6 linked regions of the Tribolium castaneum genome follow. The protein of the gene in region 6 interacts with the protein of the main gene of each other region in a biochemical or structural test. Links are inferred from orthologs where the notes say so. Each region holds a gene or a part of one and is shown on either strand. Other genes may lie near its edges.

What was found.
Region 1: the proteins of Cul1 (region 6) and Ubi-p63E form a complex in vitro, tested with the Homo sapiens proteins (2 studies listed by BioGRID, with this or other methods). The link is inferred for Tribolium castaneum from reciprocal best matches to the Homo sapiens genes CUL1 and UBC.
Region 2: the proteins of Cul1 (region 6) and ago form a complex in vitro, tested with the Homo sapiens proteins (3 studies listed by BioGRID). The link is inferred for Tribolium castaneum from reciprocal best matches to the Homo sapiens genes CUL1 and FBXW7.
Region 3: of the proteins of Cul1 (region 6) and UbcE2M, one has a biochemical effect on the other in vitro, tested with the Homo sapiens proteins (7 studies listed by BioGRID). The link is inferred for Tribolium castaneum from reciprocal best matches to the Homo sapiens genes CUL1 and UBE2M.
Region 4: of the proteins of Cul1 (region 6) and Den1, one has a biochemical effect on the other in vitro, tested with the Homo sapiens proteins (2 studies listed by BioGRID). The link is inferred for Tribolium castaneum from reciprocal best matches to the Homo sapiens genes CUL1 and SENP8.
Region 5: the proteins of Cul1 (region 6) and Cand1 form a complex in vitro, tested with the Homo sapiens proteins (6 studies listed by BioGRID and IntAct). The link is inferred for Tribolium castaneum from reciprocal best matches to the Homo sapiens genes CUL1 and CAND1.

Annotation. Positions count from the first base shown.
Region 1 is NC_087396.1:13,942,997-13,947,106, reverse strand, and holds Ubi-p63E (polyubiquitin), read right to left. Parts: upstream 2,801-4,110; 5' UTR 2,661-2,800; intron 2,547-2,660; coding exon 489-2,546; 3' UTR 399-488; downstream 1-398.
Region 2 is NC_087394.1:36,180,099-36,184,277, reverse strand, and holds the start of ago (archipelago), read left to right. Parts: upstream 1-1,379; 5' UTR 1,380-1,640; intron 1,641-1,774; 5' UTR 1,775-1,784; coding exon 1,785-2,144; intron 2,145-2,190; coding exon 2,191-2,301; intron 2,302-4,129; coding exon 4,130-4,179. Other genes in the region: uncharacterized protein LOC655874, read right to left, coding at 1-87, 286-410, 456-667, 715-869, 914-1,037. UniProt on the Homo sapiens protein: Substrate recognition component of a SCF (SKP1-CUL1-F-box protein) E3 ubiquitin-protein ligase complex which mediates the ubiquitination and subsequent proteasomal degradation of target proteins.
Region 3 is NC_087394.1:37,270,882-37,273,885, forward strand, and holds UbcE2M (NEDD8-conjugating enzyme Ubc12), read right to left. Parts: upstream 1,599-3,004; 5' UTR 1,427-1,598; coding exon 1,321-1,426; intron 1,275-1,320; coding exon 1,180-1,274; intron 1,129-1,179; coding exon 781-1,128; 3' UTR 501-780; downstream 1-500. Other genes in the region: msk (importin-7), read left to right, coding at 1-47, 101-165.
Region 4 is NC_087399.1:1,312,927-1,315,347, reverse strand, and holds Den1 (sentrin-specific protease 8), read right to left. Parts: upstream 1,292-2,421; 5' UTR 1,188-1,291; coding exon 859-1,187; intron 810-858; coding exon 506-809; 3' UTR 501-505; downstream 1-500. Other genes in the region: fatty-acid amide hydrolase 2, read left to right, coding at 1-16. UniProt on the Homo sapiens protein: Protease that catalyzes two essential functions in the NEDD8 pathway: processing of full-length NEDD8 to its mature form and deconjugation of NEDD8 from targeted proteins such as cullins or p53.
Region 5 is NC_087403.1:5,733,007-5,737,060, forward strand, and holds the start of Cand1 (cullin-associated NEDD8-dissociated protein 1), read right to left. Parts: upstream 2,801-4,054; 5' UTR 2,686-2,800; intron 1,694-2,685; 5' UTR 1,624-1,693; intron 1,493-1,623; 5' UTR 1,445-1,492; coding exon 1,344-1,444; intron 688-1,343; coding exon 603-687; intron 544-602; coding exon 374-543; intron 327-373; coding exon 113-326; intron 69-112; coding exon 1-68. UniProt on the Homo sapiens protein: Key assembly factor of SCF (SKP1-CUL1-F-box protein) E3 ubiquitin ligase complexes that promotes the exchange of the substrate-recognition F-box subunit in SCF complexes, thereby playing a key role in the cellular repertoire of SCF complexes.
Region 6 is NC_087396.1:22,572,739-22,575,708, forward strand, and holds part of Cul1 (cullin-1), read right to left. Parts: intron 1,629-2,970; coding exon 1,410-1,628; intron 528-1,409; coding exon 1-527. UniProt on the Homo sapiens protein: Core component of multiple cullin-RING-based SCF (SKP1-CUL1-F-box protein) E3 ubiquitin-protein ligase complexes, which mediate the ubiquitination of proteins involved in cell cycle progression, signal transduction and transcription.

The sequences.
Region 1 (4,110 bases), about 8.6 Mb from region 6:
TTTTTTTTGTCTTTAAGTTTTTTATTTTTATGCCTAACGTCAAATTCGATCGGCTGCCAAGTCCGGTTTCTCCGAATATCAATGAAAGTGAAGTCTTTATTTTTAACACTGTATTTAGCTTAACGAATTACTCCAAAATATGTGCAGTCATATGAATAACTTATTTTTTTAAGAATTTGTTGCCTTGTTGGAAATATACCTCAAATCTTTTTTTAATTTCAATTTGTGTGTTGGCGATTTTTGGAGAATTCTCGTGAGCGTACATTCTCGCGGGCCTACAATCTCGTCTAAGCTCCAAATCCAAAGACAAACCAACCCCGTAAAGCCAAATGTTTTAAAATTTTGATAAGCATTTTTTTGAATTAATTCACATGGAGTACTAAAATAAAACACAAGAATTAAGCCATCAATCTTTATTCTCTATTCGTAATTTCAGGAAACTTGTAACAAAAAGTAAAAAAAATATTAAGCATAGAAATTCCAGAAAATTACTGTCCTCCGCGAAGACGTAAGACTAGATGAAGAGTGGATTCCTTTTGGATATTGTAGTCCGAAAGTGTGCGACCATCTTCCAACTGTTTTCCCGCAAAGATCAATCTTTGCTGGTCTGGGGGAATACCTTCCTTATCTTGAATTTTGGCCTTCACATTTTCAATCGTGTCCGATGGCTCAACTTCCAACGTAATTGTTTTCCCAGTCAACGTCTTCACGAAAATTTGCATACCTCCTCGCAGACGCAATACTAAATGTAGGGTTGATTCTTTTTGAATATTATAGTCCGACAGGGTGCGCCCATCTTCGAGTTGTTTGCCAGCAAAGATCAACCTCTGCTGATCTGGAGGAATGCCTTCTTTATCCTGGATTTTAGCTTTAACATTCTCAATTGTGTCTGAGGGTTCTACTTCCAAAGTGATCGTCTTTCCCGTCAAGGTCTTCACGAAAATTTGCATGCCACCTCGGAGACGCAACACCAAGTGGAGAGTGGATTCCTTCTGGATATTGTAATCGGAAAGAGTACGGCCGTCTTCTAGTTGTTTTCCAGCAAAGATCAATCTTTGTTGGTCTGGTGGGATACCCTCTTTGTCTTGAATCTTAGCCTTGACGTTCTCAATTGTATCAGAAGGTTCGACTTCCAGGGTGATGGTTTTGCCAGTCAGAGTTTTAACGAAAATTTGCATGCCACCTCGGAGCCGCAATACTAAGTGGAGTGTTGATTCTTTTTGAATGTTGTAGTCGGAGAGAGTTCGGCCATCTTCGAGCTGTTTGCCGGCGAAGATCAACCTCTGCTGATCTGGGGGAATCCCCTCTTTGTCCTGAATTTTCGCCTTAACGTTTTCGATAGTGTCCGATGGTTCTACTTCCAAAGTGATCGTCTTCCCAGTCAAAGTCTTTACGAAGATTTGCATGCCACCACGGAGACGCAACACCAAGTGGAGGGTCGACTCTTTCTGGATGTTGTAGTCGGAGAGTGTGCGACCATCCTCCAACTGTTTGCCGGCGAAAATCAATCTTTGCTGATCTGGGGGAATCCCCTCTTTGTCCTGAATTTTCGCCTTCACGTTTTCGATTGTGTCCGAAGGTTCGACTTCAAGAGTGATCGTTTTTCCAGTCAAAGTCTTCACGAAAATTTGCATGCCACCTCGGAGACGCAACACCAAGTGGAGGGTGGATTCTTTTTGGATATTGTAGTCGGAAAGAGTACGGCCGTCTTCAAGTTGTTTTCCAGCGAAGATCAATCTTTGTTGGTCTGGTGGGATACCTTCCTTGTCTTGGATCTTGGCCTTAACATTCTCAATGGTATCAGAAGGTTCGACCTCCAAGGTGATGGTCTTGCCAGTCAGGGTTTTGACGAAAATTTGCATGCCACCTCTCAAACGCAATACCAAGTGAAGGGTGGATTCCTTCTGGATGTTGTAATCTGAGAGGGTACGCCCATCTTCTAGTTGTTTCCCGGCAAAGATCAATCTTTGTTGGTCTGGTGGGATCCCTTCCTTATCCTGAATCTTAGCCTTGACGTTTTCAATCGTGTCGGAAGGTTCGACTTCCAAAGTAATGGTTTTCCCAGTCAAGGTCTTGACGAAGATCTGCATGCCTCCCCTCAGACGCAAAACCAAGTGAAGGGTGGATTCCTTCTGGATGTTGTAATCGGACAAGGTGCGTCCGTCTTCGAGTTGTTTACCAGCGAAAATCAAACGCTGTTGATCTGGAGGGATGCCCTCCTTGTCCTGGATCTTGGCTTTGACGTTCTCGATCGTATCAGAGGGCTCAACTTCCAGAGTGATGGTCTTGCCAGTGAGTGTCTTAACGAAGATTTGCATACCGCCCCTCAATCTCAAAACCAAGTGGAGCGTCGATTCCTTCTGGATGTTGTAGTCAGACAAAGTGCGTCCGTCTTCGAGTTGTTTGCCAGCGAAGATCAAACGTTGCTGGTCTGGGGGGATACCTTCCTTGTCCTGGATCTTAGCTTTGACGTTTTCGATGGTATCGGAGGGCTCGACCTCCAAGGTGATGGTTTTACCAGTCAAAGTCTTCACGAAGATCTGCATCTGCAACGACACAAAAAATTACTTTTGTGACAAAGCAAATTTCCAAGCCGCCATATTGGATTTCGTTGAACAAAGAATTACGCACTGAATAAACCGAAAAAACACATTACTCACTATGTGGTTTGGTTTTGAACAGATCGACAAATTTACAAAATTAATTTTGTTAAAATTTAAACAAAAAAACACGTCACTAGGGCGATGTTTTTTCAAACAAATGTTATTGCGTCATGCGAAAAATTTCACAAAATTGCGACTTTCTGCGCTTCTTGCAATCGAATAATTCATGATGAAATTAAAATACATACCTTTACGGCTAGGAAAATTCACAATTTTAATTAAATCGCTTTTGTATTTCACCACTTTTGCTCAGACAATATGGCGAATGCAGCTGTGGAACCGCTTTTATACGGACGGCTTCCCCCACTCCTTTTTAATCTCGAACCCAAAGTACACTTTCTAGAATTTTCGACTAATTATCCAAAAAACGTCCTCTTTAATCAAAAATTTATACATAAACTTTAGTTGCTATCAGTTTAATGCCAATTCGGTTAATCGTGGTCAAAACAATGTTTCAGGTATTAAGAAAATTGCTTTTAATTGAACAAGATTCTAGGGACTTTGGCCAGTAGTTGTTGGTGACATGTCAGCTGATTTTTATCTACGTCGTCAGCTTTATCGATCAGCTGTTTTCTTTGTTTTGGAATTACGCCCTTTTTTATTTTTCAAATTTTAATTTATTTTCCAATTTATGCTTTTCAAACGTTTCAAATAAACCACCCATTAATACCTGCATGAAATGCCAAATTCGTCTGTTCAATTTTGAAAGGAATTTATTTGTTTACAAAGAATTATCCTTATCGTTGTTGTTCTAGAGTCTTGTTTATCATGTAAATACGGACGACAATAATAAATTATGTAAAAGGGTCATTTGGGACAAAGAAAAGTACAGTAATTCATTACAACTTATTTATTCTTCATATTGTAATAGATAAGGCACATTTGTGTCTATAAAATGGAAACAAATATCACATAAAGAGGCAATTATTGTGGCAAACAAACCCCTAAAATATGAAAATTAATTACAAAAATAATGGGCCATTTTACACTACACAGCGTCCATAAAATTAAAACTACAAGAACATGCTACCGAAATTACAGCAACAACAAAAATATTGCATCAGATTGATTATACGCCATAATTTCATACTTCCTATATCAACAATTCAAAATTATGATACTTTAACAAAGCGTAATTCTATTACTTCAACATAAATCTTTCGTCCGCATTATAAAACTAAGCAGTCAACAAATACATTTCATGTTACCTAAAATATACAATTCGGCTTTAACAGTTGCTAAACGTAACGTAGTCCAACTACAAAAATACAGGATAAGACGTGATAAACTTTATAGTTCCAAAACGGTAATAACCGCTTTTGGTAAACATGTTGACATTGGTGATCACCTAAAATTATTTACACGATTCGTTGTATTCTTCGCCCTATTATAGCTAAATTCGTTTAATAAAGCTGCCCACATGATTTCGAAAATAGACAAAATATAA
Region 2 (4,179 bases), on a different chromosome or scaffold from region 6:
CGCCTTCTGTGCCCACAACAACGTAATTCGTGTTGTGTTGGTTGCATGCAACGCTGGTTAGAGAGCAAAACTCGTTGTTGTACAAAACTGAAAAATAAATATTTTTCGATAAAAATTTAGCTCAAAAACATCAGTATTAAAAGCTACATCCATTACAAAAAAAAACAATTTCCTATTGTAGCTAACTTTGGACACTTGTATACTTGAAAATAATGTTTACATCTTCACTTTGCTCCCGTGAAATATACATGATTTTTTCGCCTCACTGGACGAAAAAATAATTACCTGAGGCAGGGCACGGATTACGGTCGTCCCAAATACAGCACTTCCGGTCCATTGAAGCTGTGACAAAGACGTTTGGTTCCGACTTAAGTGTATCAACATAGTTTACAAGTTCCGTGTGATAATCGCTGGAAATAAAACTTAGATAAGGGAAAATTGTTGATAAAACTTACGGAAAGTGATTTAGTGGTTTACGGATAGTGCTATTAATGTCCCAAATGGTCACCGCTTTATTCGAGCAGGTGAGTATCCGTGTGCTGTTCTTCCAAACTGCGATTTTCGGAATGCGATCTATTTCCCTATAATAACCTGCCGATTGTATGGTTTGGTTTTCACGTGATATTGTGAGAATATTTAAAAGACCCGTATCTTCAGCTAACGCAAACTATTTTCATATTATTTGTTGTGTGTACACATTTAGCTGAAACTTACAGTACTGTCGTTTAAAAATTTCCCGTCTGAAACCGTGGACCCAATCAAGCTTCTGTTGTGTTTCAGAAGCAACAAATTCTCCTCATTTGAGAAAAATAGCAAAGTGCCTTCCCAAAGAGTCCCGTTTAAGTTCGAACACCCCAGAACTGACTCGTCTAAAAGACAATTAATCGCCAAAATTGAAAAAAACCCACCTTACCTTTTTCATTAAATTCTAGGAAAAGTAAGTGTTTGTAAACGACCGGTGTTGTCGAAAGTTCGACTTTCCGTTGCAGCGATTTATTCGGTGGATAAACCACCGTATTTAATTCGTTTTCAATCATTTTAACACAAATTCAAAAAAGAGTTCGAGGTTAAGTTTTGGTGCAAAAAAGCCACTAAAATCACATGTGCGCCGTTAAATTCCCCCAGCTTGTCACCTTGCTACTCCTGTAACTAAAGTCACGAAATCGTAGCGTAAATTCTCGAAATACAATGCAATGGTGTTGGGGAAAAACACAAAACGGATTTTCCTGCAATTGGTGAGTGTTTTCCAAAAGTTTGGGGTCCTGGATGTTTTTTTGGGCGAATGGTTTGTGGAGTCAGGGTGTTTGTGAAACGGGGCGGCGCCTTAGCCACGCGATTTTGCTGATATTTCTTATTCTTCATTTACACAAGTTCGTCCAGATATTTGTAATGGTGCCAATAAATCCTAGTATTTTGAGAATGGCCGTCAGTGTAGTTTTTTGAAAAGGTATTTTACCCAGCGAGATGCACAAGAAAACTCGCTTTAGTGTCTCGGAGTGATAGGAAGTAGCAAACAGTGGTCCTTGATGCATAGTTTTTGGAAGCATTTCGTTAATTTTCCTTCTTCTCTTGCAATTATCTGGTAGTTAGAGTAGTTTCGTTTCATGCCTTCGAATAATGATAGAAAATTACATCAGTAGGTATGTCAGATGCAATTATTCTAACCATTTTTCCCCCATTGCACTCATCTTGTAATTAAGTAGGATAACGTGTTTCACTCGCGGAGATAATTTTATCGCAAAACTTTACTTAAGACGTTTTTTGTTTTTTCTAGACTGTAGATAATGGCAGAATCATGTCCTTCAGGCAGAAGTAATTTCAACCCCTTATCTAGTATTAATCGAGATTCAGAACTTCCAAAACAAGACTGCACCAGCCCTAGCCCTACTGAAACCGTTTGTCTAGAGTCGTTGTGTACCACTGATAATGCACCAGGTACATCCCAGAATCACTTAGCTCCATTGAGTGAAAAACTAGATGAGATATTTAGAATTAGTCAATCGGGCGAGGAGACTGAAAAAACTAGCTTTCTCAATAAGCTAGGTCTGGAAGAATGTGATGAAGAAGACAGTTTTGAGAAGGAAGAAAACTGGGAGGATTGTACTGAAGGAGACCTCTCTGAAGAAAATCAAGAGCTAGAAGAGGTAACTCCATACAGTGTGTTAACTTTTTACTAAATTATTTTTACAGGACGAAGATAGCAGTGAAGTTTTTTCAGGTTCACCTCCAGGTCCTCATCAAACAACACCAAGGAGTTCGTACGCGAAGAGAAGTGGGTCGTACGCCACTGACAGATACTGGGTAAGCAGAAATTATGTTTGTTGTTTCAAGCGAATGTGCAATAATATTATTTTAAAAATAAACCCATTGACTGTTTCCATCACTGGATAATGCATTTTCTGCAAATGGTTAGCACAAGGCAAACAAAAAATTACAGGCAGAGATAATTTATATTAATTTTGCTTTTTTCTTATTCACTGATAACTAAAATATATGTCACATTTGTCTAACACGTGTAGTTTTCTTAATATATTCACTAAAAGTTTTAAAAATTTGTTTCTGGTGGCATTCATTGTTTCTGTGATCAACTATTGTTAAACCTTGTAATTATTTTAAAATATCTTCAAGTGAATGTAGATTAAGTCCAAACAACTTTTGTTTTGTTTGTGGTAAAATTGTCTATAAAATCTGGGAGACTTAAACGATCAAATGGTAAATATTTTCATCAAATCTTATGAAGAGAGTTATTAAGGTTTTTGGGATAAAAATATGTTATTCGTTTTCTACTAGTCCACATTGAGATAAACACCCTGATAGTACAAGAGAAGAAGCAATCTGTAACATTTTAGATGTTGCGAAAATTGTCAAATACTGATACTTTATAATGAGTATTTAAACTTAATTTGTTTTCGACTTCAGCATCAGATTTAGTGGTAATTATTCTACTGACATTGGTAAAAATCGTGGTAAACTAGTGTAATTATCTGCAATTTTTTGTAAACAAATCAGTGACACATTTTATTACGCCACTGCTCAGGTGGTACTTAATCTTTGCAATACCTGTTGTATTAAATAATTTCTCAATACTAGTTTTTGTTTAATTTTTTTTAACAAAATGTGACTAATAATAAATAATATTACTCTCATAAGTAAAGTTGTGACCATTTTTGGTTGTTGTTTTGACAATTTAAAAAGAAAATAATTAAAAAATACGAGTTGGTCTTGACTATTTGGTCGAAAATGTAATTTAAAGGAATTTGGTTTTAATGAACGCTTACCTTATCTATGTATAATACGAGTTTAAAAACAATCGTCACAGTTTTAATTATGTATTTAATCTTTATATAACTTTTAGATAAAATAACAAAACGAATAATTAAGGGGCATTGGGGAAAAATCGATAAGTAATACGCGAATAAGTCACGTTTACGTAGTAGTGCATTAAAGTTATTGCTCGTTTTTTAAACATTCCCATGGTCAATGAAGGTCTTTAACCTGTTTGGGACTTTGCTGTTTTTAACTATTTAGTTTACTTGTTGTTTTTGTATTGGTAAACACGAGTTGGGCGATAACGTAAATTAAAGATAGACATAAAAGGTAATAATTTTGATCCTTTTTGAAATTATCGTTGTATAATACAAACTAACAATTTTCATAGTTATTTATTATGCCTGTAGATTTTTTTTTAAATTGTTGAAAAAATGTTTGTTACCTTTGACAACCTCTAATTCTGTGTTTAGTAAACAATGTTACTCAAATATCTATGATAATAAAGCAATTTCCACATAATCACATGCATTAGAATACAGTGTAGTAATAATTAACTGCATGTCATAAAAAACTTATCAGGTTAATTTTGCTTTTTAACGCTAGTTTTTCCGGTTTAAGATGTTACATTATTTTCACCTTAATGGTGTTTATGTATTAATCGCAAATGTAAAGAGCTTAACAAAAATAAAACAGTCGTACTTCTTTTTTTTTAATGATGAAACTTGTAAGTGTTGAGTCGATAACATAATACGTTGATCGACATATGATTTTAGCCTAATCTTCTCTCTGATATTTTTTGAAACGAATATTTTGTGCTGTTTTGTTAGCAGTTGTAATGTGTTTTGTTCGGTTTTTTTAGAGAAAACGGAAGTTGGACGTGCAGAATGGGTTTCCGTGCAAGAAGTTGCT
Region 3 (3,004 bases), on a different chromosome or scaffold from region 6:
TCAGAGGAAAGCAGCCAAAGAAAGTAAAAGAATTGAACAATCGGGAGGTAAAATTATATGATAGTGTTGGGGGAATAACAAATTAATTTTGTTTGTCCAGGTTTTATGTTTACACAACATGAAGTACCCACAACTTTTAAGTTTGGCGCTCCAAAACCGTCATGAATATATGTGACGTGGTGTGTAAAATTTTTGTGACTGAATGTAAAATTGACTGTTAAGACCAGTGAAATGATGTACAGTTGGTAATTTAATCTTTTTTAATTTTTATTAAGTGCCTTTTTATTAAACAAAAAAAAAACGGATGTAAACGATTTAAATTTACCTAATATAGATTTAAATGGAAGTTTATTTTCCGTGTAATTGTAATTATTTTTCGACTGTGTCTCTTTTGTCTCATTTGTTTTCTTCTTTAGGGAAAGACAATGTAGTAAATTACATTATTTCTATAATATACTGAAAGGTGTTAAGTTATTGCATTTTAATAAAGAATTGCTTCGAATTTTTGTAGATTTTTATTATGAAAAATTATCTATTTTCTTAATTAAATCAGTTACATTTCACTGAGGAGAAATTACAACACACCGCTTTGTGGTGCTTTACGCTGGAGTGAGATATGATGATCACAATAGAACGATTGAGATGAAAAAGCCAAATAAAACAACATAGTGGTAGCTTTAATAAACGAAATTAGTAATTAGGTATGCAAGAATCACTCGAGTGTCCTCGTCAACGAGCATAAAACAGTAAACTTATAAATAAGTTCTTTACACATAAGAATCACTTGAGACAGCGGTCGAAATAAGTACTGCCAACATACCCTCCACGCATCGCCTTCTGGACGTTCTGCTCAAACAGCCGCCTGTTGGTCGTGAGCACTTCAGCCGCTTCCTTGTTCAAAGGATCCTCTGGATTGGGTTCAAGGAACAAATACTGCAGTCCATAGACGATACTGTTGATAGTCAGTACGGGCTTCCAATCCTCCCTTAAAATGTTCAAGCACACGTTGCCCTGTTGGTCGATGTTGGGGTGGTAGACCTGTGTCTCGCATTTGACTTTGGGGGGCTCATGCGGGTAATTGGGGCCCACTTTGAAACTGAATACGAACCTCCCTGTCTTGTAGAAACCCTAAACGTCCCCCCAATTAACCACAACCCCACACACTAATCCACAACTAACCTCATCCGGACAAATCACCAGTTTGAAAGACAGCAAGTCGTCCGGATCGGGAAACTCCGTCGTGCAGGTCTTGGGCAGGTTCAGCTCGTTGATATCTGCAAAGGGAGGGTCAAAATGGGGGCGCAATGACTCACAACCAACCTTTCGTAATCCTCAACTGGGCTGCAGAGGCTTTCTTTTGATTTCCTGGTCGCGGTGAGGCTTCTCCATCTTTTTTCTGTTGCTTCAGCGAGAATAGTTTTATCATATTTGGCTGGCGCAGGGGTGGTGAGGGGTCAGAGCAATGTAATTTACTGCGAGCACACTTTACAAAAACATGGGAAAGTCGAGTTTATTCGATTGCTTTTTGCAAGAGAATTTTTCACACATCTGTCAATGTCAAAACTGTCAATGGGACATGCAGGAATTTACTTTACCATCGGAACGAATTCTTAATGAAAAAATTTAAAAAATTCATTTATTGCTAATGCTAAGAATTTTTCTGCAAAGCACTTAATCAAAAGATCCAAATCAATAAAGCAGACCATCAGAAGACTATGTTCAAAGCTATTTAAATTAATTTATTTCGTGCCGTTGTTATTACATTGGTACTACTGGTGCGTTTGTCATCCTCTGCGGATTTTTCGCGTCTTGAGTTGTTGAAATTCGTAAAATTATTCTGTGAAACGAATTATTTCGGTTTAGGAGCGTTTTAGAACTGTTCGTTATTGTGTTTTTAGTTTGTGTATTAGTTTGTTGACCACCAGACCACAGATGAACATTGAAACGAATGTTTGCAGTTACTCAAAGGTAAGTGTACACATTTCTAATTTATTTGTTAATATAAATCCAACCCTAATATTTTAAAGCATCGTTATTGAAATTTTATACGGTACTACATTTTGACGCGCAGAGCAACTTTTGCAAAGTTTGGGCCACGGGTTTGAGCCGTCGCGTCGTCTTCGTTAATTGTCATTCAACTATCAACGCAGACGACGCGACGGTTTGAGCAATTTTAATTTTTTTACGAAATTATTAATTAAAAAATATTTTAGCATTTTGCCTAAAATATTGTAATATTTAAATTAAAATTGAGTTTTCATGAATATGGGGTTTGTTGTCTAAAGTGATAGATAGCAGAGGAGATAACCATCTGACTCATCTGAGTGTAAAAAACAAATTTAGTGCTTTTCTGAATTGATAATTTTCCAAGTTTCTTAAAAAAAATTGGAAATGCAGTCATTTCACACAAAGTCTCATCACTCATCACGTCATCAGTTATCACATTTTATGAGCTTTGAAAAGTACGACACTCTAGAGACTATTTTGAACCCAAATAAATATGGTCTGTAATGTAACCATTTTACAGACGACTTCAGAGAAATGGCTTTTCTAGTTATCAATCAATAATTCATTAATTTAAAAAGCTTGTATTTTTCGTTTATTAATATTGTTTGTTTGATCCTATATCTAATTTTAGGAAAAAAATTGTGTTAAATAAAAATTATTGTGCAATTATTCTTGCATATTATCTGCAAATAATATTATATCACATCAGTTCCTTTTAAAAAGCACCAGTCATTACATTTAATTTTTGATGATCCATCACAACAATTATTACGAATTAAATGAGACTTAGTCAAAGTAGATATTTTTCTCCATGCTGTTATGAGGTGTAAAAAAATATTTGGGAGCATATTGTAAATGTAAATCACGATGAGTTTGCATAAAAGAATAACAGTTTTTTTCCTAGATTATTTAACCTTCAAATAAATTAAAAACTTACTACTCACTTACATCTCCTATAGCACATTCAAATTTTTGTATTTAACCATTTTTTTCTCCA
Region 4 (2,421 bases), on a different chromosome or scaffold from region 6:
TGAAGTGGACGCTTAAATGCCTTAGTGATAGCACAGTATTCGGACTGAGAGAGCCAAGCTCAAAGTACCAACCCTTTTATAGAACTACCTATATTTTATAAATGTTTACACGGTTGATGTGTCTGTATCACGTTCTATTTTAATCATTTGTACTATTTACAATGAGATTATTTTTATAACTCAATGTTGAATTTTATAATAAAATCTCTCTCCTGTTTCACTGGCTTTTTTTGGTCCCCATACATAGATTCACCAAATCTTGCCAAAAATAACACGAAAAATCGCTGAATTATGACGACAAAGGCACACTTTTTGCCTGTTTTAAGAGTCTAATCACAGTTTTTGATTCATTCAGCACATTTTTTCTTAATTTTACTAAAAATTCATAACGAGTTTTGAAATTAAAACAAATAGAACTGCATTATCACAAGATTACGTATGTATGCAAAATTTCAGTACGTTCGGATAAAAAATTTGTCTCGGAAAAAATAAAACTCTAGTTCGACTAGCTTTTTAATTGCTCGATGACATTGTAAATTTGGTTGCGCATCGACCCCACACTATTCACCAAATCCTCGTTAGAGCCATACCCCTCAACACAATTATACGAAATTAAATGTCTGGCCAAATGTTCCGTATTACAAATCACGTAAATCCCACAGTCATACCCATTGTTCTGCTGCAGCGCCCTCTCCTCCTTAAACTGCCCCTCGATCCCGAAATAACTAAAAATCTTACGCCCGAAATTCTCACCCTGCTCCCGATTCATCCCTCTGGAAGAATCATAGTGATAAATGGTCTTATCGGGCCTAAAACACACATTATCACCCTTTTTTTCAACAAACTCTCACGCACTACCGTGAAAACAGCAGCAAACTCCAATGTGTGCCCCCCGCCGCTTGGGGCCTCTCGTTATCATTCAAGGCAAAAAAAATAAAACGTCTGTGCCGCGCATCGAGCGGGTCCAGGAAGATGCCGATTTGGGAACTGGGGGTTATTTTCACACACTGGGTCACCTCAGGGGGCACGAATAAAATATGGGGGGCTTGTTTGAACGTGTTCTTCAAGTACTCGAAGTAGAAGGAAATTATGTTGTCGTTGAGCCAGTGGGGCCCTTGGAGGAGCTCCACGTCCGATTTGCGCAAAAGACTCTCGTCGTAACTTAGCACAATCGGGTCTTTGCTCATTTTATTACACTTAAAATTTAGATTTTTGACTAAAGTGGGGTTATGTTAGTTGTTTACCCAGGCGTGCCAATCAACCGGCGAATTGCCAATTGGACTTTGGCAAAATTATGACTAAAATGTGCCCAATTATTATGTAATTTGATCGTCTTTTTACTACAAGTGCCTGTTTATTGCAAAATACTGGACGAAATCAATTTAAAAATCGTTTAAACTCGTAGTCGAGTTGGGGCATTTGGTGGTCTCATGTTGGTGTTTCGTTTTTGCAATGCCCGCGAGTTTTCATTTTGAAATTGAAAAATCGAAAAAATTTGATTACATGACGTTCCGTCCGCTCGTAAAAGAGCATAAAACCGTACAGTTTTTTACAAAATCGGCGCTTATTTATCGGACTCACCTCGTTAAGTGTCTCATTTTTCTCGGCTAAAGAATGCAACACAACTAAACACTCGAAGGTGTCAATTTAATAAAATTACCGTTATTAGAAATCAACTTGTGTATTTACGACTTTGCTTTACAAAATCAAAGTCGTGTAACGACTTGATACACTAACGTTTCCGCTAAATGTTTTGCAGTAAAAAAATCAATAATTACGATTCCAATTATTCGCACATTTTTAGAGAAAGTTGTTTTGATCCTTCTGAGCATATTAACTTGCTAAATTGACGTGAAAATTGGAAGAATAAAAGCGAACTCGCCGATTAATCGAAATCGCAAAACGAAAACATCAGCAAAAATAATTTTTCAAAGCAAAACTTTATTTTGTTGTGACCAAAAAAAAACTGTAAAAACATAACCAGTTAAGTGTCTCTTCTGATTAATCTAAACTTTTAACAACGAATTAAAATTTAATGAAGCTTTCTATAAACCTCCCTTAGGGAAGCGTGATTAATTTAATCCGCAATTAAATGAGTGATTAACTGATCACGTGACCAAATTTAAGCAATTTGGTTGGACCATTTTAACAGCGAATTAAATTTTAACACAGCTTCCTTTATAAATTTAACAAAAGTATTATACTCTACTAAAAAAGTGTGTTTTCGTCAAAAAATATTTCAAAAACCAAGCAAGTTTAAATTAAAGTCATCAGTATTAAAAGCTACGTCCAAAAAAGTCAATACTGAACTTTTCCACCTAGCTGGGACACTCTGTACAGTCAGTATCCAAAAATTTAGGACGCTAAAACGAAAGAGACGAGAAAGTAACAAACACCTTAGTCATTTTCTAGGTGTCTAAA
Region 5 (4,054 bases), on a different chromosome or scaffold from region 6:
TTGCCAAAGCGGTATAACAAATCCGTGACAATGTCGAGAGCTTCCAGTTGCACGGACACGTCGTCTTGCTGCAAAGTTTCGTTGATTTTTGCTACAACGTTGACAAACGTACCCTTTCGATAGCAGTCGTCAAACGACCGGTGATCCGCTTGCAAATGTTTCCGGAGAGGCCCCCAGGTGCCTGTGGCAGTTCAGCGATAACCGTCTTGAGCCCAATGCTGGAAATATCCCGCAGTTGCTCCTTGTCGGAGACCATGTTGGTGCACAAGGCCTCAACAATGGTCTCCACTTGGAATTCCTTAACTTTGTTAACTAAAGGCCCCAGACTAGAAATTACGAGTGAGACAAGTGAAGTGTGATATGACTGACCTACCATTTGACAGCCAAGTTTTGTACTTCACCGTTTTTATCTTCAAGTAGTTTCAACAACATTCTTACAACCTTTCGTTCCGAATCATCATCTAATTTGATACTATCTTTCTGCAGTTCGGCCATTAAATCGTTTGTGGCCATAAATCGAAAATCTTTGTCAGATGATTGCATCTGAAATGATTTTTTACTCGAATTGCTGACCGAATACTGTGTAATACGATTTTACTAACCTTCTCAAGAAGATTGGCAATCTGGTAAGAGACACTAGCCATCTCTGCAGCGTCTTCTACTACTTGATCAACGTAACTGCGAAGTCTTTAAGCAAATTGATGTTAAATAAAACAGTTTTTTATTGTAAGACTGAATTTATATGAGCATTTCATCTAGTTCTTTTAGGTTAGAGTACGAAAATTGTAAATAATTTACTATGTGTGTCGTTCTGCATGTACAAATTAGACATGAAATACAGCTATCACTAACAAAGTAAGTAAATCACAATAATTACACTTATAATATCACTAATAATGAAAATTTGGAAATTTTTATTATTCACTAGCTTATATCAATCCACCACAATAATAATGACAACCTCAGACACCGGAGTACCAACTGCGATTTATTGTAATACCGGCTAAAGTGATTTGACAAAAATTTGCACCCATTTACGCGTTATTTTGTACAGTAATTGATATTTTTCAAATCATATAGTAAATTCCGATATTTTAATAACAAATTAAATCCCCACTACACTCCAAAGCGGCGCCATAGGCGTGCGGTTGGGAACCTTCCAATATTTCAAAATTGTGGAATTTTGGAATAAACTAAACACACAAGATTTTGAATAAGCCGAAAACACCTATTATCGTCACTTCGTGTGTACCGGAAAGACATAAAAATACAATTAGGTGGGACCGTACTACGCGTGCGCATTCATAGAATCTAGCGCCAAATTCAAACCCGTGAATACTTACTCGCATGTTACCAAAGCACGTTCAAGATCATCTAGCTCAAAAGCATGATCACCTTGCTCGTAAGGGTTACTTTCATCACCCTGTTGTTGTTCTTCGGCCATTTTGTATGATCAAGCACACACCGTTTAAATCCAAAATTTATCGTTTTGCTAAAAGGAAATAAAGCTAAATCATATCGTGTGTAAGTTCGTCATTTGTTGCCACTTTAGAAATCTACCGAAATCGACAAAAGTCTTGATTTGTTGCGAAGTTAGTAGTGTCAAAAAATTTCGTGGCTTACCTTTACAGTCGGATTTCTTCACCTCTGTGCGGGGGATCCCAAGCTCAGGTTGGCTCACGTAATCCAAAACCTGCCATTTGGAAAGCATTATCACCGAATTGTGACACAAAATGGAAATTTTCGATAAAATATGGAATCAACCAACCGACTTTTTTATTACTTGTGGCAGTTTTGTAACTGTTCAATTAATTTTCGTCATTAAAACAAATCAAATGCCATTAAAAAATGTTTTAGTTTTCTTTGAGACTTTAACAACTAAATGTTTGGGCGAAATCTCGTTTTATTTTTAATTATCAAACTGGTTATATGTAACAACAACACTTTATTCATCATTTGCATGAATTTAAACAAATGCAATTGGATGCTATGAAATGGACGCTAAGAAATTTGACCCCAAAATGGGCTTTGACTGTCAAGTTTTTGTATTAACATCATTTGACCTTCAATTTGATTCAATGTCAAACATTTATTGCGATTTAAATTAATAACCAAAAGGGTGGAAATTCCAAAAAAGGCAAAATAATTTTGTTTGGATACTCAATCTGGAAGAAATTTTATGGCACAATGTGGCTTTCTCATTTTCTAACCACTCGGGTTTTTACCCGATTTTGAGATAGTGGTTAGGTTTGGAAATTTTGAGAAGTGCAAACAATTTCGAAAATATATTACGCCATTTGACGATTTTTTGAGAACTTACCTAAATAAACCAGTCGTTTTTACTCAAAAGCTCACAATAGTTCTAACTAGTTCAGAGTTCTGGCCACGTCACCAAAGCTCGCCATTTTGAAACAAAGGAAAAGTTCTTGGAAAAACGGTTGTTGTTGCTAAGGGGTCGAAATTCGAATTTGGAACAACGGAAAACTCAAAAAATATGAAAAACTCAACTAAAGGCCTCAAATACACTATGTTGTTGTCGTTTTATAAATTTTTTTGGTCTTTTTACCCCGATTTGCGACACTACAATAGGGACGCCGGGGAAGGGGATGAATTTTGCAAGTTTTAATGAACTTGGTCAAGTTTCAGGATGGAACTATACTAAAAGAAGGTTTGTTAGGGCCTTACCTTGACAAAACAACAGTTTTTATTCAATTTCACACTCTAATGCACTAGATGAATTGAGATTTAAGACAGCTAACACGGGGTTGCGCGATGGTTCCCTCAGGATGATCGGCTCGTCGGCACTGCTCGGCCGTTCTCGGATTTGCGTTTAGTAATACCACTGTACTTTCTAAACTACTCTTTAATAATTATAAAAATATTTATTGCAATGTCAGGTAGCAAAATTTCCTCATAATAATTATTTAGAATTATAAAGAGGACCTATGCTAGGTCACACGTTTTTTTTAATGCTTGAAAATAAATAAATAAAATTTATACAAATTTTTACAGTGGTTAGTGTCATTGGATTGCAAAAATTACAGGAATTATTTATGATTTAGTGTTTCAATTAGTTTTACGTAAAAACATTGGCAAGAATTTCTATCATTAAAAAGACACGTGTCACTCAGTGTAGTCGAACTGTAGAGATGTAAAACAGATTAAAACTAATTAAAACAAAAACGTTTCTGTCTTTGTGTCATTGTTAACACAACATATAACTATTTTTTTATTAAATAAACGCAGAAATGCCAAATAAATTTACCGTTTGCCTTTTTAATAAAAATTCGTGTTTTATTGGTTGCATACTCCCCGGGGTGTCGTAGTCTGAACTTATCGCATAATCAATTATTTACAAAACTAAGTTTTTTACTTTTTGTAATTCCATTTAGGATGAACTGAGGGGAAAATAAAAGTTACGAAAGCTTTATAATACTTTATTGGCTTTAATACTCAAAAAATAACAATTCTTCTATTTACAGTAGGAGTAAAGTCACATCAAAGTTTAAAATATTATTCGCTATCACTATAAACAGCCATTTTTACATCTTTTTCATCACTATTGTTTATCAGATTAAAACGCAAGTACCCTCCGCGGGGCCGTTTCCTTGATTTAAAAATTTGCCACAATAAATGCAATACTAATAAAACGCTAACTATAAGTAACATAACAAATACCCTTATATACCATTTATCTGCTACTATTGAAGAGGCCACAGATGCGGAGTAACAAAAAGTTTCGGTGCTGGAAACCGGCACCAGTTGGGCATCTGGGAAACACTCGGAACACTGGTAGTCCACCGGGCCTGTGCACTTCTTACAAGTGTAATGGCATGGTAAGCACCGATTGGTGTTATTTTCCGGAGATAAATCTTCGGCCTCCGAAGGCCTCTCGCGCCTAAGCGTCAAATGGTAAAAGCCGTCAGGACAACTTTTGATACATCGACCCTTGTGTAAAAATAAATTTTCCGGACAGCCTAAAATTATGGCACTGTTAATGGTGCTGAGGCAGGTAAGGTATGGAAAAGAATTAGCGTTATCTACAGGAAAGCAA
Region 6 (2,970 bases):
TTTTCAATCGCTGAGAGCCCCTGAGCTGCGATATGTTGCTCGAGAAGCGTCCGTAATTCCCCTAAACCGTCCGGAATCCGCGCTACCAACGAGTACATCCGACCCAAATCCTCGTCTTTGTCGGCGTCCAACAACTGCTGGAACTCCGAATGGAACATGTCGAGGTGCTTTTTAATGAGGACTCTTTCGCAGGTTTTGGCTAAACGGCCGCTTGTTGTTTCGTGTAGATAGACTTGGACGCGTTTCTGTTCTTCGAGGAGACGTTGTTCGGCCTTTTTCATGTATTCAGTGACCGGATTTTGTGCTAGGAAGTTGTTACTCTCTTTTAGGTAGAAGCGTTCAGTGTCTTCCAGAAACATGTTTTCGAAACTCTCTTTGTACACCGATAGGTTCGGTCCTTTGGCCCCTGGTTCCTCCTCGTTTAGGCCCAATTCCACGTAACAGTTTATCACGCCAGAGACTAAACGAGTGTTGATTGTTTCGCCGTTGCGCTCGCGTTCGATCAGTTTCAGAACGGCAGTTGTTACCTGGTTTGAACGGGGGAGAAAAATAAAAACGACAGCCCCGGATAGGGGCTTGCAAACTCTCAATATTTACTAATTTAAAACGAAAGCAAAAACAAAACTTTTAAAATTAATATAATTCTATTTATTACCTCAGAAGTATTTTTTTTATTTCATTTTTCTGAGGATTTTTCCATACCAGATTAGCTAGCGTAAGTGGGCTAAAATAAGTTTATTTTTACCGTATCGCAAAAAATTATAAACACACATTAAATGCCTGTTTTTCTCTATGCAAGTAAATCTTTTCAAAATTTTTACAAGTTCCTTATACGCAATCAAAACAAATTAATTAATCGTAAGCGACTGAAAAAAATATTTCAAATTTTGATTTATGTCAAAATTACGTAGAAAACATTGTAGCTAGCCTCAAAAAATCCTCCAAAAAGTTGGATGATCTCACATTAAATTGTAACCAAAAACATTCAGGCAAACCAGCCCTTAATATTAATTTATTAATTTTAAGAAATTGTAGAAAAAATATGAGAAAATTCACATACAGGGTGAGTCAATAGTGGGTTAAATTTAAATGTTTTTTTGACCTTCATGTGGAGTGTAATCTTTCAAATTCAAAATGTCAAATCTTCCTAAAGGCTCCAGATCTTCAGCTACTCATACTCTCCGAGATTATAAATATATTTTTGAAATTTATTAAAGCTTTCATCAAAATCGCCTTCTGCTGAATTAGCCGACTTTTCGGTTCTTTTTGGATAATTTTGAAACTGTTCTCACCTTCTAAATTAAATAAAAAAAAAAGAAGTTAAATAAAGTACAGTGAGCCGTAGATGACCCCTCGTTTTTCCCTTCCCCATAAATATTGATAGTTTTCCGCGCGAATTTGTGGCTAACCTGTTTGTTTAATTGTTTGAACAGATGATCTCGCCATGTCACCAGTGCGAGCTGATAAATTTCGTAGATTCCTTTCCTTCCCTCTTCGCATTCTCTCTTCACCCAATGTCGATTCAAATACGAGCAAATACCATTCAGAACCTTGCTACTGAACTGATACTCCTCCCATTGACGCGTATAAAATTTCAAAACGCCTTCACCCATCCGATTCATCCCGTCCTAACAGAAAAAAAAATGAAAAAATTGATTTGTAAATCTTCCGGTTTCGAAATTACTACGCAATAATCAAATCACGTCAATAATAACTTGTTTTGCTACATGTCTGTTTCCGCCTTTATTGCGTTAATTGTGTTTTTATTTGTGCGGCGGACCAAACAATACGCATCGAAACAACAAAACGCAGTTGGTTCGCAAACGTGGATTCATAAATTAATAAAATTATATTCATATTTGTCCAGTACGTTTTTTTTTTTCCAAACAGTTAAAACAGATAAGATTACTGAATAATTCACTCGAATTTTTTATCTTTCTCTGGTGTCTTATTCGAATTGAGATTCCATTAAGGTGGGTTTAAAAATAACACGTATTGTTATAATTACCTTTTAACCAAGGTTAATGACAGAGTTTAACTGGAATTTGCATGTAAACGTAAAACATTGTAGTCTTTACAAAAAAAAAATTCCAAAGAAATTATTTTGTCTCAAATCGCTCAGTTTATTTTATTTAAACCACAACAACGAATATTTTTTTTAGATTTTAGTAAATTTCATCATAGATTTTTTCCAACTTGTTCGTTCATAAAAAGCAAAACAATTCACGACTAGGCTTTTATTACTGTCAAGATTTGCTGGCGATTATTGCGTCAAAATCATGATTCATTCAATTTCTTGTTTCACAATCTTATTCCGCGCTCGATTAACACGACCTGAACCGTCTCAACTAATTTACGAGTCGTTCCAACAGATAACGATGATAAAATGTGAACTTCATCCTTTGACCAATTTAAAATTGTAATTTTCGTTATCCCTTCGTGCATTATTCAGTCACACTTTCTCCACGCTTCCACTTAATATTTTAACACTGGCATTTCGTTTTTTTTTTTTTAATCAAAAACAGATATTCCCTCGATCGATAAATTAAGCGTCACCGGAAAATTTCCTCAACCGAAAATTAGTCTTGCATCAACTGCGGTAATTACAGCACGAAACGTCACTCAAGGAAAAACAACAATTCTGCAATTTTCGGTATTTTTCCCCGATTTTGTTATTGCCAAGTGCACTTCTTATCCGTCGACCCTTTGAACTTTCGCTGGAAATAATCGCTGACCTGAATTTTCACCGAAAAACGTATTTACTTTCTTGCACCGAAATTTTGTAATAAAGCGGAAGTAAATGTGGCGCCATTGCCATAGCTCGTGACCAAACAACATTCAAGATAATTAACGTTAAAACACTGTTGGAAACGAGATTTTTTTTTATCTGTGGCGAATCGATAACGTTGCGTAATTGATACCATTATAAAAATATGAAATATTCAAATACGTGGTCGTTCAACTCGCAAC